Diceros bicornis minor: one gene and its partner. The protein of the gene in region 2 purifies or fractionates together with the protein of the main gene of each other region. This does not show direct contact. Links are inferred from orthologs where the notes say so. Each region holds a gene or a part of one and is shown on either strand. Other genes may lie near its edges.

Region 1 (7,695 bases), on a different chromosome or scaffold from region 2:
CATCTTTTAGGGAGCATTATTTTGCCAACCACAGAGATGAACTAAAAAAGGAACATTTAATTTACAACAGAATTTAGAGGAAATATACAGGACTTAGGACAGTCTTCCATCTAGCAAAAGATTTTTTTTTTTTTTTTTGTGAGGAGATCAGCCCTGAGCTAACATCCGCCAATTCTCCTCTTTTTTTGCTGAGGAAGACGGCCCTGGGCTAACATCTGTGCCTATCTTCCTCCACTTTATATGGGACGCCGCCACAGCATGGCTTACCAAGCAGTGCGTCGGTGCGCGCCCGGGATCCGAACCAGCGAACCCCGGGCCGCCGCAGCGGAGCGCGCGCACTTAACCGCTTGCGCCACCGGGCCGGCCCCCTAGCAAAAGATTTTTAATGTTAGAAATGACCTCAGGATAAAATTCAAATCAAGGGGATTGCTGTAAAACACCTTAAGACCTCTGAAAGATTCAAGGCAGTGACTTAGAGACTTCCTTAGACGGACACAGGGGCTTCTAAGAATCCACAAGGCCTCAAATGTGGCCCAACATAGAAAGATAACCTGTCTCAAAAAAAAAAAAATTATGTCTGTGTCTTCTAGGGCATAAGGTAAACCCCAGTTAGATTCACAAGAAGCCTACAAAGTTTTTAAGAGAGTTGTGTCAATTTAGATTAAAAGAGACAGAGACAGATCAAAATGAAAAGAGGCCTCTGCACCCCCAACTTTCTTTGGACAAGAGGCAGGCTGGGAAAACTACTCAGCTGCAAACAGGAGCCATATCTAATGGAAAAGAAAGGACTCAGTGACAGGGCCAAGAGTCAAGGAGGCCAATAGGTGGGGAAACCAAGGAACACTAGGAGCAGAACTGGGCCCCAATAAAGGAGAATTCCCTGGCTCTAGGGCCAAGGGAGCTGGTGACATATGCCCAACTGGATTTCAGAATTCTGTGGTTCAGTGTTTCCATTCTGAATGCACATCACCCCCTACACCCTGCCTTACGAAATTGGAGTGTTTATTGCTGTTATCCTGTTCCTGTTTCACCATTAAATGTTGGGGAACAGTTGAGCAGAGATGAGGAGGACACATAATTTGTCTTTTAGTTCACAGCAATCTGGGTCAAGAGGTGCTGTACCCAAAGAGCTGAACCTGTGGTATCATACCTGAGGAGCTTTGTCTGCACCTGGACTTGATTTACATGACAAGATACACAAAGCTGACTTTGGTGATTAAATGAGACTTTGGGGGCTTGGGAATGGGGTAAGTGTAGTCTGCGCGTAAGAGGGATATAAGCCATTGTGGCCAGAGGACAGACTATGGGAGATTGCTGCATAATGGCCTCCAACGAATCATGCCTCCCAGTGGCCCACACCCCTTTGCAATGTGACACTGCCACTCCTTCTATGAAGAGATGGACTCTCTTCCTCTACTGGCCTTGTGACTTCCTTTGATCGTGTAAAGCAGTCTCTGGGCCCCCAACTCTCTTTGGGCAGGAGGCACACTGCAGGAGGTGGAAGAATGTGATGGAATGACATTATTTGAGATCCAGAGCCTAGATCTTAAGATATGCCATAGCTCCCACAATCACCCTCTTAGAATACTGCTCTGAGACTACCAGGCATGTGAAGAAGCCTGGAATAAAGACTACATGGAGAGAGATGCCTGGCCATCCCAGCTGTCTCAGCTGAGCCCAGCCCCCAGACAACCTGCCCGCTGAAGGCAGCTGCCTGAGTAAGTCCAGGCAAGACTGACAGAATAACCACTCAATCAACCTGCAGAATCATGAAAAATAACAAATCATTTTGTTTTAAGCCTGGATTTTGGTGTTTATTGTCACTCAGTAGTAAATATCTGGAACTGGAGCTTAAGTAGCTTAGGTGAGTAGTAAGATATATCTCTTACTAGCTCACACATTATCTGTTTGTACTGTACTATTATTCCAAAGACACATTAGCTCATCTCATGAATAGAGATGGCAAAGTATCATAACCATAACATGCCTTGGATTGATGAGTATTATTTAACATTTATTGAGTAACTATGAACTATAGTATTATCCTTAGAATGAAGTAATACTCATCTAATCAAAGTTTTTTACTTTTTGTGAAACTTGACATTGCTGCAAATATAATCTCAGTATACCCGTTACCTTTTATAGTGTAAGAAGAATAATGGCCATTAGCTGTATCACCCTCACATGAGTTCTGAAATGGACAGAGAAGCGGTATAAAAAAGTAAAGAAAGAAAAAAACCTTTACACTGATCATTATTACCTGGACAATAAAGAAACCCTGGTTGTAAAGCTATAATGGAACAATAAAAACACTGGTCAGTCAGATGGCAAAACGGTCATCTTCATCAAAAAGTCAAGAAATGCTTTTTTCTTGTTAGCAATTGGTTATAGTAAGATTCTGGGACTGTCTAGGATTTGTTCATGTACTCATTTGTTTATTTATTTGACAAATATTTATTAAGCGCTTACTAATGTGACAGGCATTGTGTTAGATACTGGAGATGTAATAGTGAATGAGACAGATATGGTTTCTGATCTCACAAAGTCAGCTGGGGATAGAGGGTGGGTGAGTAATGAAAATGTAAATACACTGTTACAACAGAGTGTGATGGGGACATGATAGGACACGAGTAATAGGATTTTGTTGATTCTTCTTAAAAGTTTCTTTAACTCAATAGCTTCCAGGCTGCAACTGTAAAAACATTTTGTAATTCTGTTTGTAAATACAAAACAATTTGTAATTTGAAATGCTGTCTATTTTGTAAATTGTTCACTTTTGCAGGAAGTGCTACATCTTGACTCCAGGAACTTTCTAGGTTCCTGGAGACCTATAAATGCCCTTGGATTATGTCATCTGGGGATCTTTATACTGTATTGTATCTTGATACTACTAACCCACAGAAGATGCTGCACATAGAAGACATTATTCTTTGATTTTCCCTTAGGATTTCCAGCTGGTGCCTAAATGGATTTTTCAGAAGACGGAGTATCTTCAGAGAGCAAAATGACGACCCTTCTTAATGTAATGTGAGTGGTGGTTTCAAATGTCTAAAGTCAGCTTTCCCTCATGCCCCTTTAAATCTACAGCTGAGACTACCAGCCTCATTTTTGGTTTGTTTTTGACTGCTACCTTGCAGGCATCTTGAGGATCAAGACCATGCCCTCGTCATCTTTGTTGACCCAGAAGTCGTGTAATAAATGTTTGTTGACTGACTCAAAGAATCCTTGCTGAGAAATTATCATTGGAGACCATGACTATTTTCCTACTGCATTTTTATCTGGGCATGTTCAAAACTTTGATTTTTAAATCACTTTAGCAAACCAACAAAAAAAGAAAAGAAATAAATAAACTAAACACAGAAAGCAAGACAAGACTGGGCCTAGTTTTTCTTTTGAATTCTCTTTTACTGTGAAAGATTATTTTAAAACATTTGCTCCATAAAAATTTTTTAATTGTCTTATTTTATTCATAAATTGCATTATTGTATATGTATCAGGGACAATACAATACAAAAATAAAACTAAAATGGCAACCCATTTTGTAAAATGAAACTTGTAAAAGCCAACACATTACGCATTGTTTCAAGAAGGTACTGTTTTTAGAGCGCCAAACAGGTATTAAAAATTAAGACGGAAAAGTAGGGAATGGCACCACTCATGAAAAAATCTACTTCCTCTTAGACGGCAGATGGTGAAAAATGACTTCATAACAAAGGAAGCAGCCCTCATGAAGGACTCGACAACCCTAGGAAAAGCGTTCCTCGGATAATTGCTGCAAAGTTTGACAGCAGAGTCCCTGCTCCTCCCGCGAGGAGCTGAACTCGAGCTGTGCGTTTCCCGTAGCTTTTCCTGTCATCGAGCCACAGGCCTTTTCTCTGACCCCTTTCGCGCTGCCCCCTACCCTTCCTCTCCTCAGTTAGGGAAATGTAAAGCACAAAGAGAAAAAGACTCGTAGCCCTTTCTTCCCGTTCCCCCGCTCCCCGTAGGCCACTAGGCTACTTCGCACCTTCCCTCCCCGCTGTCGCAGTCGGCCCTCTGTGTTCCCCGCGCTCCTGCTCCTCCCCTCCCCCTCCCTCCTCCTCCCCCTCCCCTCCCCCGGCTCGCTCTTCCTCTCTGCCCTCCCTCCCCCTCCTCCCCTCCCCCTCCCCCCTCCCCTCCCCCCTCCCCTCCCCCGGCTCGCTCTTCCTCTCTGCCCTCCCTCCCCCTCCCCCTCCTCCCCTCCCCCTCCCCCCTCCCCCTCCCCTCCCCCGGCTCGCTCTTCCTCTCTGCCCTCCCTCCCCCTCCCCCTCCTCCCCTCCCCCTCCCCTCCCCCGGCTCGCTCTTCCTCTCTGCCCTCCCTCCCCCTCCCCCTCCTCCCCTCCCCCTCCCCTCCCCCGGCTCGCTCTTCCTCTCTGCCCTCCCTTCCCCCAGTCCCGCTTCCCGGCGCGCTCTCCTCCCCCCGCCCCCGGGCCCGCGCCGGCCCCTCCCGCGCCTCCTGCCGTGTGACACATCCCGGGCCCTCCCGCCGGCGGCAGCAGCGGCAGCACTGGCCGCCGCCTCCGCCGGAGCCGCAACCCGGCTCAGCTGCCCCGGCTGCGCCGCTGCTGCAGTCATGGCTGCTGACGGGGTGGACGAACGCTCGCCTCTGCTGTCAGCATCCCATTCGGGAAATGTCACTCCCACGGCCCCACCGTACTTACAAGAAAGCAGCCCCAGAGGTAAGGCCAGCATAGACCTTTGTACTTCGCAAAGAACAGCCTAGAATGTACAAGACTAGGGAGCTCTAGCTCCGAGGCGGAGGAGAGATTCCCAGTTGGGCTGGGAGACGGGGATGCTGACTGCGCCTTCAGATGCAGAGCCTGCCTGCTTGAGAGCTTCACCGCAGGGCTTTCTGGTTGGCGTGGTGTGGGATGTGTGAGTGTCTATTTCACCCCTTCCTACCCACTGGTGTGGGATGTGTGTGTGGGTGCGTGTGTATTTATTTCACCCTTTCTTACCCACTGGTGCCTGTGGGGTGTGTGTGCCTGTGTGTGTTTCACCACTTCTTACCCCCAGGGTACAGGATGTGACATGGATTTCCCAAACTGGGCTTTGCTGTTTAGAGCAGCCCCTAAGTGCAGCTGGGAGGTGGTGCAAATCTTTCACAATCATTCACAAATCCTTTCAGGTTGCTGAGAAACCCGGAATACTGCTCACCTTGGCATCTGTCCTTGAAAGGGCTTAGGTTGAAAATATGCATCTCCTACCATTCATCCACCAGTGATCTGTTCAATCAGGATTTTGCCTTACCAAAAGGAATACGAGTTAATCAATATTCCTAATATGTCTGAAATTCCTGCCCTTCCTCATTACTCCTACTTGTAAGGAGTGTGTGTTAGCTTTAGTTGTGAATGAGGAGGAATAGAAGGGAAGATGGGATGTTTTCAATGCATATCTGGGTGAGATTGAAAATAACTTCTAAAAAGTAACCTAAGTTAATACTGTAACATTGAAATAAGTATCTATTTTTCTTCTCAAGATAGAATCCCATTGATGGCAATGAGATCTGGAGAAAGAAGGGGGGGATCTATTTACCAAACTATTCAGTTTATTCGAAGAATCTGTCTTTGTTCTAAGCCTTTTAGTTGATTCCTATAGGAGAAATAAGGTGGGGTCAAGAGTTATAGCAAATGAAAGGCAAGACTTTAAAAAACCGCTTAGAGTACTGAAAAGATTGGTCAAATACGGCACTTGACAGCGTAGCTTAAGTGCGTCTCTCTCTTTTTTGGCTGAATGTGAGAGAAGTTTAAAAACCCAAGGAGGCAAACATTAATGCTTTTGAAAATATGGGTGGATCATGTCTCTTGTAATGCAACTTTTTCTAAGTTCAAGTCAGAAATTGGAGCAGCTGTAAATCAGGTTGAACTTGTCTAGTATTTAAAATTTCCATTTAACATGTTATAACTTAAAAAGCAACAATCTAGTTTTAATCCTTAACTTAACAAGAAGCAGGACCAAGGAAGAAGATGTTGAGCTGTGAATAATTCAGTGTGATCTATGAGTTGAGAAATAAGATGCAAAACGGAACAGGACTCACCCGCAGAAAACCCACACGTCATCGTTGTTGGTCAGCATTACACTTGTGTCAGAGAACACCAGGTAGGGAATTTCTTTTAATGGGCAAATTTGATATTAATATTTTACTGTTATCTAAATTGTATGGTCTAGAATAGGTTTAAATACTTATCAATGAATGTTTCAACTTCATCAAGTCACCCTTTTAAGACAAAAATTTTGACAATTTATTAAGAGACAGAGTTTGGATTTAAGCCACTATCCTGTAACCCATTTTCACGCCCTCTATTCTGCATCTATGTTCACGCCCTCTATTCTGCATCTATGTTTTTGTACTTTTAGTCAGCTAGTGGCTAAATTATTCCACAAAAATGGTCGTACTCATGGATCTGCTTGTAGACTTATCAGTTGCCATATATTTGTTTAATCTGATAAAACTCCTCCAACTAGGCAATAAGGTAACAAGTTCCAGTTCAGCTACCGAGAGAAAGAAGTTTCATTCCAGAAAACTTCTAACAGCTGGAGAAATTCAATGGTTTAGCAAAAGGCTCTTTCTGCCTTATAGTAGAATACATTTTTTTCTTAACTGGTGAATGAAACAGGTTAAATAATTAGAAACACTCATTTTATATGGCATAATACCTAGGAAGCAAGAAGCATAAATGAGAAGTAAAGGCATTTTATTTGCATTTTTGACAGCATATCTTTTCCTGGTAAATAACAAAATAAGTATCTTCATAAATGTTATGACACACGAGATCTGGTTCTACTAGACCAGCGCTCCTCACTCCCTCAGTGGTTCATCTTGCAGCACGGTGTGCCGAGACTGTGCTGGGTGGACAAGCCTGACCAAACCCAGGCCTCGTGGAGCCCCCGCTATAGCGGGAGACAGAATAAGTCAACACATGGCTCAGTTATTTCGGATTGTAAGAAACACTCTGTCACTAGACCAGATGTTTTCCCTAGTTGACAAGTAGAGTCAAAGCTTGGGATTCAAAGGATCAGAAATAGAATGTACTTTTTGATAATGAAATTTGGTTTATGATTCTCAGACTTTTATTTTTAAAAAAAGTAGTTAAGAGGGGCCAGCCCGGTGGCGTAAGCGGTTAAGTGCACGCGCTCCGCTGCGACGGCCCCAGCTCGCCGGTTCAGATCCCGGGCACGCACAGATGCACCGCTTGTCAAGCCATGCTGTGGCGGCGTCCCATATAAAGTGGAGGAAGATGGGCATGGATGTTAGCCCAGGGCCAGTCTTCCTCAGCAAAAAGAGGAGGATTGGCAGATGTTAGCTCAGGGCCGATCTTCCTCACACACACACACACACACAAAAGTAGTTAAGAGCTGTAATTAGCAAATATTTTGTCCAATCCAACCCTTTGCTATTTGTGTCATCTTCTAAGAACAGGCATGTTAGCTCCCACCCCAAGATGAAATGTTCCATTTCAAGTTGAAAGTTGGTGCAGTGTTTATATCTGGCCAGGTTATTGATAATGTAAAGGGGAGCAGTTAGTATTTTGTGACTGGTTTTAGCACAGTGAGGACACTCCACCTGGGTTTCTAAGTGGAATGCTCCTAATGGTCTCCTGTCAGTGCCGGCTTCCTGCGGAGTAGGAGATCAGCTCTCCCATTATAATGCTCCGTGTGGTACACTTGTCAGCTTTT
Region 2 (7,423 bases):
CTGCCTATAGTATTACATTTGAGGTATGTTTCTTGTAGACAGCATATAGTTGGATCATATTTTTTTATCCACTCTGCCAATCTCTGTCTTTTAATTGGTATATTTATACCATTTACATTTAATGTAATTACTGATACATTATGGATTAAGTCTACCATTTTATTTTTTGTTTTAAGATTGTTCTCTCTGTTTCTCATTTCTCTGCTTTCTTTTTCCTGCCTTCTTGTAGGCTACTTAAACATTTGTTAGAATTCCATTTTGATTTATCCATAGTGTTTTTGAGTATCTCTCTCTATGGTTTATTTTAGCAGTTATTCTAGTTATTACATTATATATTATGTATATCTTATCATAGTCTACTAATGTTGTCATTTTGCCAGTTAGACTGAAATGTAGAAAACTTACCTCCCTTTATGTCCCTTTACCCTCCCCAATTTTAGTATCATCTTAAATATTTTCTCTATATACATTTAGAACCACATCAGACAGTATTATAATTTTTGTTTCAACCATCAAACATAATATAGAAAACTCAAGAGGAGAAGGAAAGCTTATTGAATTTACTCATATTATGATTATCATGTACTTCCTCCCTTCCTGATGTTCCAAGATTCCTTCTTTTGTAGTTTTCTTTCTGTTTAGAAAACTTCCTTTAGTCATTTTTTTAAGGGTAAGTCTGCTGGTAACAAATTCTCTATTTTCCTTCATCTGAAAATATCTTGATTTACCCTTCATTCTTGAAGGATGTTTTTACTGAACATAGGATTCTGGGATGACAGTTCTTTTCTTTCAGCACTTGGAAAATATGCCATTTCCTTCTGGCCTGCATGGTTCCCGATGAGAAATCCACTGCCATTTGAATCGTTTTTCCCCTATAGGAAAGATGTTATTTCTTTCTCATTACTTTTAAGATTTTTTTCTTTGTCTAGTTTTCAGAAGTTTGACTGTGATACGTCTTTGTGTGGATTTCTTTGATTTTTCCTAATTATAGTTCACTCAGCTTCTTGAATCTATAGGTTTATGTCTTTTGTCAAATTTGGGACACTTTCAGCCATTAATTCTTTGAGTACTTTTTCGACTCTGTCCTCTTTCTTCTCTCCTTCTGGGACTTAGATGATAGGAGTGTTAGATCTTTTGTTATAGTCCTACAGGTCCCTGAGGCTCTATTCATTTTTGTTTTCAGTCTATTTTCTCTCTGTTGTTCATTTGGGTAATTTCTATTTTTCTATCTTCCAGCTCACTGATTTTTTCCTCTATCTCTTCCATTTTGCTGTTGAATGCATCCATTAAGGTTTTTTATTTCTGTTATTATATTTCTCAGTTCTAAAATGTCCATCTGGTTCTTCTTTATGTCTTCTGTTTCTTTGCTGAAATTTTCTATGTCTTTGACGAGGCTTCCTATTTTTTCATTTGTTTTGAGCATGTTTATTGAAGCATTTTTATCATGACTGCCTTAAGATCTTTGTCAGATGGTGTTAATGTGCCTGTCATCTGTGTTGGCACCTACTGATTTTCTTTTTTCATTCAGTTAGAGAACTTCCTGGTTCTTGACACGACAAGTGACTGTCTACTGAAATCTGTACGTTTTGGGTATTGTGTTATGATACTCTGGGTCTTATTTAAACCTTCTGTTTTTAGCTGGCTTCCTCTGACACTGCTCAGACAAGGAAAGGGTTGGCACCCCTCCTTACTGTCAGGTGAAGGTGGAAGTCCAGGTTCTCCACATCATCTCCGCTGACACGGTGGTGGTTCTGGAGGACTACTCTCAGTGGGCATGAACATCCTGATTCCTTATTCAGCCTTTCCTTGACATTACTCCAGTGGCTTGAGAGGAGGGAAAGTCAGTTACCTCCTTACAGCCTGGCAAAGATGGATCTAGATTCCTCACTTGGTTTTTGCTGGCATGTGTGGGGATTAGGCCACAGATATTTTTGGTAGTGTTTGGCTGTAGTAAAGGGACTATTCTCTGAAAAGTTTTCTATATTGCTAAGCTGCCCATTTCCTTATCCTTTAGCTAGAGAGAGCAGGCTTCCATAGGGTTTTTGTTTGTTTGTTTGTTTGTTTGTTTGTGTCTGTTGGTGTTTCCAGGTTGCTGGCTTCTCCAGAACCCAGTCTGGGATATACGGGGCAAAAAGAAAACCCAGAGAACTGACCAATGTGTCATTTTTCAGGTCACAAGGTCCCTATTCTTTTCTCCACCTTTCAGAATCTTCTTATGTTGTTTTATGTATAAGATCCAGGGTTAGTTGTATTTAGCAAGATGAATAGAGAAAATTATGTCTACTCCATCTAGACCATCTGGAAACCATCTACTCCATCTGGAAACCGAACCATCCCCAATAATATATATATATATATATACACATTTTTTTTTGCTGAGGAAGATTCTCCCTGAGCCAATCTTCCTCTATTTTGTATGTGGGTCACCACCACAGCATGGCTGCTGATGAGTGGTGTAGGTCTGCACCTGGGAACTGAACCCAGGCTGCCAAAGCAGAGCACACCAAACTTAACCACTAGGCCATGGGCCCAGCCCCAATAATATACTTTTAATTATTGCAGTTTTATATTATGTTTTGACATTTGGTAGCAACCCCTCCCTTATTAATTTCTTTTTTTTTAATTGTATTGGTTATACTCATGACTTACCTTCCAGATTAACTTTAGACTCAGCACTTCAAATTCCCTTTAAAAAATCCCATTGGGTTTTTGATTGGGATTATATTAAATTTATAAATTAATTAGAGGGAGGTATCTACTGTATTAGAATATTAAGTCATTCCATCTAAGACCAAGATCTCTTTACTTTTTTTTCATGCTGTATGTCATGTCCTTCATTGAAGATTCATAGTTTTCTTGAACACTTCTCGTTAAATTTATTCTGACAGTTACAGGGTTTTTAAAACTGTAAATGTGATATTATTAACTAGCACTTTCTATTGGTAAGAGTCATTGGTTTCTATATATTTATCTTGTATCTGGCCACTGTACTTAATCTTTTCATTAATTCCTTCAGTGGCTATTTTTTTTTTTTTTTCTGTACTAAGCATCTGCTTCCCCCACATTTCTTCTGGTAACAATTACAGGAGTGCATATATAATCCAGTACAAGTCAATCACAGCACCTCATGCTCCTAGATGAAAGGTGGGCACATGACCCAAGACAAACCAGTCAAGACCCTTCCTAGGATTTTTATGGGTGATTTGACAGGGAAGAGGTTTGTTTCTTCTCTGGTCATGGAGTTGTCAGATACAATCCTAGGTACTACTGGTAGCCAATTTTCTCTAATTGCATAGGGAAGCTATTCTAATTTGGAAGATAATGAAGCTGAAACAGAGTATGAAACCAAAACAATTGAGAGAGAGAGAGAGAGAAAGAGAGAGAGCACGCAATATTTGTTCCTTGTTTACAATATACCCCTGCCTTTCCTATCCCATGAGCCAATAAGCCCCCTCTTCTTTAAATTACTTTGAGTGAGGTGGATTTATTTACAACTAAAAGAATCTTGACTGTACAGAACTGGTATCAGGAGTGGGATGTTGTAAGAAACAGAATTTAAAAGGTGAACCTGGCCAGGTGGTGTGGAAAGCAGTGAGAAACCATTCTTTGCAATTTGGGAAGATAATTATCCTCATGGAAATGGATCAGCTGGATTAACCATCTCCTGTTGTACTTTAGAGCTCAGACTGTGTGCCTAATGGCGTTGTAATTATTGGGGATTTGATAGAAAAATGTTAGATATTGAATGTGATATACTACTTGTGATCTTCAGTATGGTGCTACAAGATAACAAAAATCTTTCTTTTAAACTGGACCATAAAAAGAGATTGGATAATTAGCTTTGTTAAGAAAGATCTAGTCTGTTTGTAACCAATGACCTAAGACCACTGAGAGACAATTGTGTGCTACATGTAATTGTAAAAGCTGAATTTAATTTTCTATGCTAAAGTTAGGAGGAGTCAGAGGAAACAATCCATTATAATCATAATCTGTTTGTTTGTTTGTTTTCCATCTCTCTATTCTTCCTCAGGGTTGGATAATTCCCCTCATAGTCCCAAAGCCCTCATGACTGACGGCAGCTCCTGGGGCTACAAGCTTCCTTGTTCAATATCATCAGGAGAAACAAGACCATGCCCCAACATTTTCAGTGAGTCCCATGATTCACTCTGATTGGGCTGCCATAGATCTGGAGCCCATCCCTGAACAATCATTTTGGCTAGGGAGACAGGAACATACTGACTGGCACACCCCTAGATTTGGGGATAGAAAACAATCCCAGATTAAATCTCTTGGCTGAGAATGGGAGGGGGAAAGATGGTTTCCCAAAGGAAATTCAAGGTCTCGGTCCCAGAAAGGATGGTGGGCAAAGAACCCCAGATATCCATATACCAAGGAAGAATCTTAACCTAAGGCCTAGATGGACAGTCAGAGCCCCCAAGCCTGTTGCTAAGAGACAAACCACAAAAGCCAGGTTCAGAATCAGGTTTCATGACTGGGCAAGATTTCCAGCATTGGTTACTTGCACATGGCATCCCTAGGAATGGAAATGGCAGACAGCCAACTAGGATTTAAGGCAGTTGTGTCACCAGAGAAATCCCAAGCCTGGCAAACACGGGCCTCCGATTGCTCAACTCTGAGATAATTCCAACTCTAACTATGCCAGTGGGAAGTGGGGCACTTGAGCAGGACACCTCCCAAGAGGGGACTTCCCTTTAAATTCCTCTTGGGTCTGGCCATGGACGAGATAAATCCAGGCAGTGGCCAAAATCAGGGGCAATCAGACTTGCTAAGACACACCTGATTTCACTGCCAAGGAAGTGAGTCCTTGTAGGTCCTGCCTTCTGCCTGTGGTATTTTCCAGACTGTGGACCACTGTCTGGTATTTTCCCTTGTCCACTTTCTTTTAAAAAATATACTTAAAATTTTTTTTACAAAAATAATAAGTACTCATTTTTATAACACCAAATAATATAAAAAGTTATAAAATGAAACTTTAGTCTGTTCCTAGACCCTCCCCTATTGGATCCACTCCTCCCCCCTGGAGGGTTACACTATTAAGAGTTAGGTACGCATCCTTCAGAGGTTGTCCTATGTATGTACCTACAAGTACAAACATACATCTAAACTGTGCAAGACAGTCAAATTGAAAAATTAAAGTCTTCCTCCATCAATCTGACGCCCATCCCCCAGAAGTAATCATTTTCAACCATTTCTCTTTTTAGCCTTCCTGACAATACTTCCATAATGCCAGAAAATATGCTAATATCTCTAATTCATCGTTTCAACAATATCTCCTGACTCGCTGCAATGAAAGATAACGAGTTTAGCTTGCTTTCACTGCGTCCCTTCTTTCCCTAATCCCTGCCAGTCACATATTTACTTACCCTTTCTATTATTTAATTTTAGGACTTTAAATAACATATTTAAACATCTATTTCCTGACTTCTCTTCAGATTGTTGCCTGTACAAAAAGGACTTTATTTTATTCTCGTACCTGATTGCTATTTTGGCTGGGTATAATCTCCCATCAACATCAGTTAGGATTAAGTACAGTGTAAATAAGGGACCCAAAACAGCAGTGGCTCGAAGTTGAAGTTTATTTTCTTTCTCATGTAGAAGATTGCAGGGGACTGGGCTCCTTCCAGTTTTCTACTCTGCCACACTTAGGATGTGGTCCTTGTCTTCACGGCCCAAGATGGTGGCCTCATATTGGCTTCCAGGCAGCAGGACGGATGGAGGAAGGTGCAAAGAAGGAAGGGACAGTCACATGGCCACACTTAGCTTTAAGGGAGGCTGGAAATGTAGCCTTGCTTTTGGATGGCTACGTGCCCAGCCAAAGACCCAAGGTTCTATTACTAAGGAAGAATGGGGGACAGACGCTGGGGACACTAGCAGTCTTGCCACTCCCTCTGCCCTTTGCAGGCTTGCTCACCTTCTTCTTGTCGGGATTGTCGGTGAGACATCTGATGACAATCTGATTTTCATTTCTTTGTACGTAATCTGTTCTTTCCCCTGGAAGATTTCACATGAGAGAGAATTACATGTGCAGAAACCTTGGGGCCCGAGAATACAAATCATTTGCTCACAGTGCTGTGACTTGAGATTGTCCTTTTCTGACTCCTTCCTTCCTGTGCCCTCTGCGTTCACCCACTCAACCAATGTGGGTGCTCTCCAGCTGTGTACCTTCGGCCTTCCTCTCACTCTCCCTGAGTGACAGCATCCTCCCATGGCTTTGGCTGCCGCCCACGGGGTTGAATTCCAAATTTATCTCCACAGCTTACATCTCTTTCTCAACCTCGAGATCCAAAACAATCCAGTCATCTACTGGTATCACCACCTGACTGACCCACAGGCTGCCCGAGCTCCTCACGTGCCAGTCTGAGCTCTCCAGTTCCTCTCACCTCACTGCACAGCAATTCGCCCCTTTGCCCAAGGCAGAAACCCACAATTTCTGACCGGTCTACACCTCTATATGTTGCTTCCTCTCCCTGAACTTCCCTCTTCCTTTCTTCCCTTGATTAATTCTCATTCATCTTTCATAACTCTGTTGAGGGGTAACGTTTTTGGCAAAGTGTTTCCTGGTTTGGTTCTGCCTCAGTCTGGGTTGGGTGGCCCTCTCTTGGGTTCCCAAGCTAGCTGGAGAGTCCCCGTATCCCATCACCACTGCGACACTTTCTGATCTTCTGCACCCTCGTCTGGACTGTGAGCTATTTGATGGTAGAGATGGGGTCTTATCTCTGAATCCCCAGCATCTGGTAGAGCATTTGGCACATAGAAGTGGCAGCTTCAGAGCTTGCTGCGCCGTTCCCCAGTCACAGCCTCCGTGCCTTGCTCTACTCCAGCGCGGCAAAAATCTCCAGCCCTACAGAGACTGCGGTGCAAGTCTCTGATTACTGTTTTCCAGAGATATGCTGCAAAGGACAGGAACAGCAGCAAACTCTCCAAGACCGAGTTCCCAGCCTTCGTGAACAGAGAACTGGCTGCCTTCACAAAGAACCAGAAGGACCCTGGTGTCCTTGACTGCGGGATGAAGAAACTGGACCTCAACTGTGATGGGCGGCTAGATCTCCAAGAATTTCTTAATCATATTGGGGGCTTGGCCACAGCTTGCCATGAATCCTTTATCAAGTCTACTTATTCCCAGAGTAAATCTCAGGAGCCCTTGGGCCTGGCCTCCATACCCGCCCACCTCTTTTCCTTCCAGCCTCCCAACCATCATCTACTCCTCACAGCCCACACATACCCTGAGCCCAGCACACCCGCCACCCCATGCCAGCCACTCCTGCTGCTGTTAATAAAACAATATCGTTTTTTAACACACACACACACACACACACACACACACACACACACACAAAAGGGGCAGCTTCCATTTTTTGCTGTCCAGCTCATTTCCCATACACCTCCTGATAACTGCAACCCC

Evidence for each region.
Region 1: the proteins of CDK5RAP3 (region 2) and PIP4P2 purify together in Homo sapiens (affinity purification with mass spectrometry; 3 studies listed by BioGRID and IntAct, counting the BioPlex papers as one, with this or other methods). This does not show direct contact. The link is inferred for Diceros bicornis minor from reciprocal best matches to the Homo sapiens genes CDK5RAP3 and PIP4P2.

The regions. Positions count from the first base shown.
Region 1 is NC_080760.1:10,725,489-10,733,183, reverse strand, and holds the start of PIP4P2 (type 2 phosphatidylinositol 4,5-bisphosphate 4-phosphatase), read left to right. Parts: upstream 1-4,530; 5' UTR 4,531-4,591; coding exon 4,592-4,697; intron 4,698-5,146; exon of another isoform or gene 5,147-6,032; coding exon of another isoform or gene 6,033-6,117; intron 6,118-7,695. UniProt on the Homo sapiens protein: Catalyzes the hydrolysis of phosphatidylinositol-4,5-bisphosphate (PtdIns-4,5-P2) to phosphatidylinositol-4-phosphate (PtdIns-4-P).
Region 2 is NC_080757.1:38,083,948-38,091,370, reverse strand, and holds the start of CDK5RAP3 (CDK5 regulatory subunit-associated protein 3), read left to right. Parts: upstream 1-4,311; 5' UTR 4,312-4,314; coding exon 4,315-4,317; intron 4,318-6,226; exon of another isoform or gene 6,227-6,327; intron 6,328-6,812; exon of another isoform or gene 6,813-7,166; intron 7,167-7,423. UniProt on the Homo sapiens protein: Substrate adapter of E3 ligase complexes mediating ufmylation, the covalent attachment of the ubiquitin-like modifier UFM1 to substrate proteins, and which is involved in various processes, such as ribosome recycling and reticulophagy (also called ER-phagy).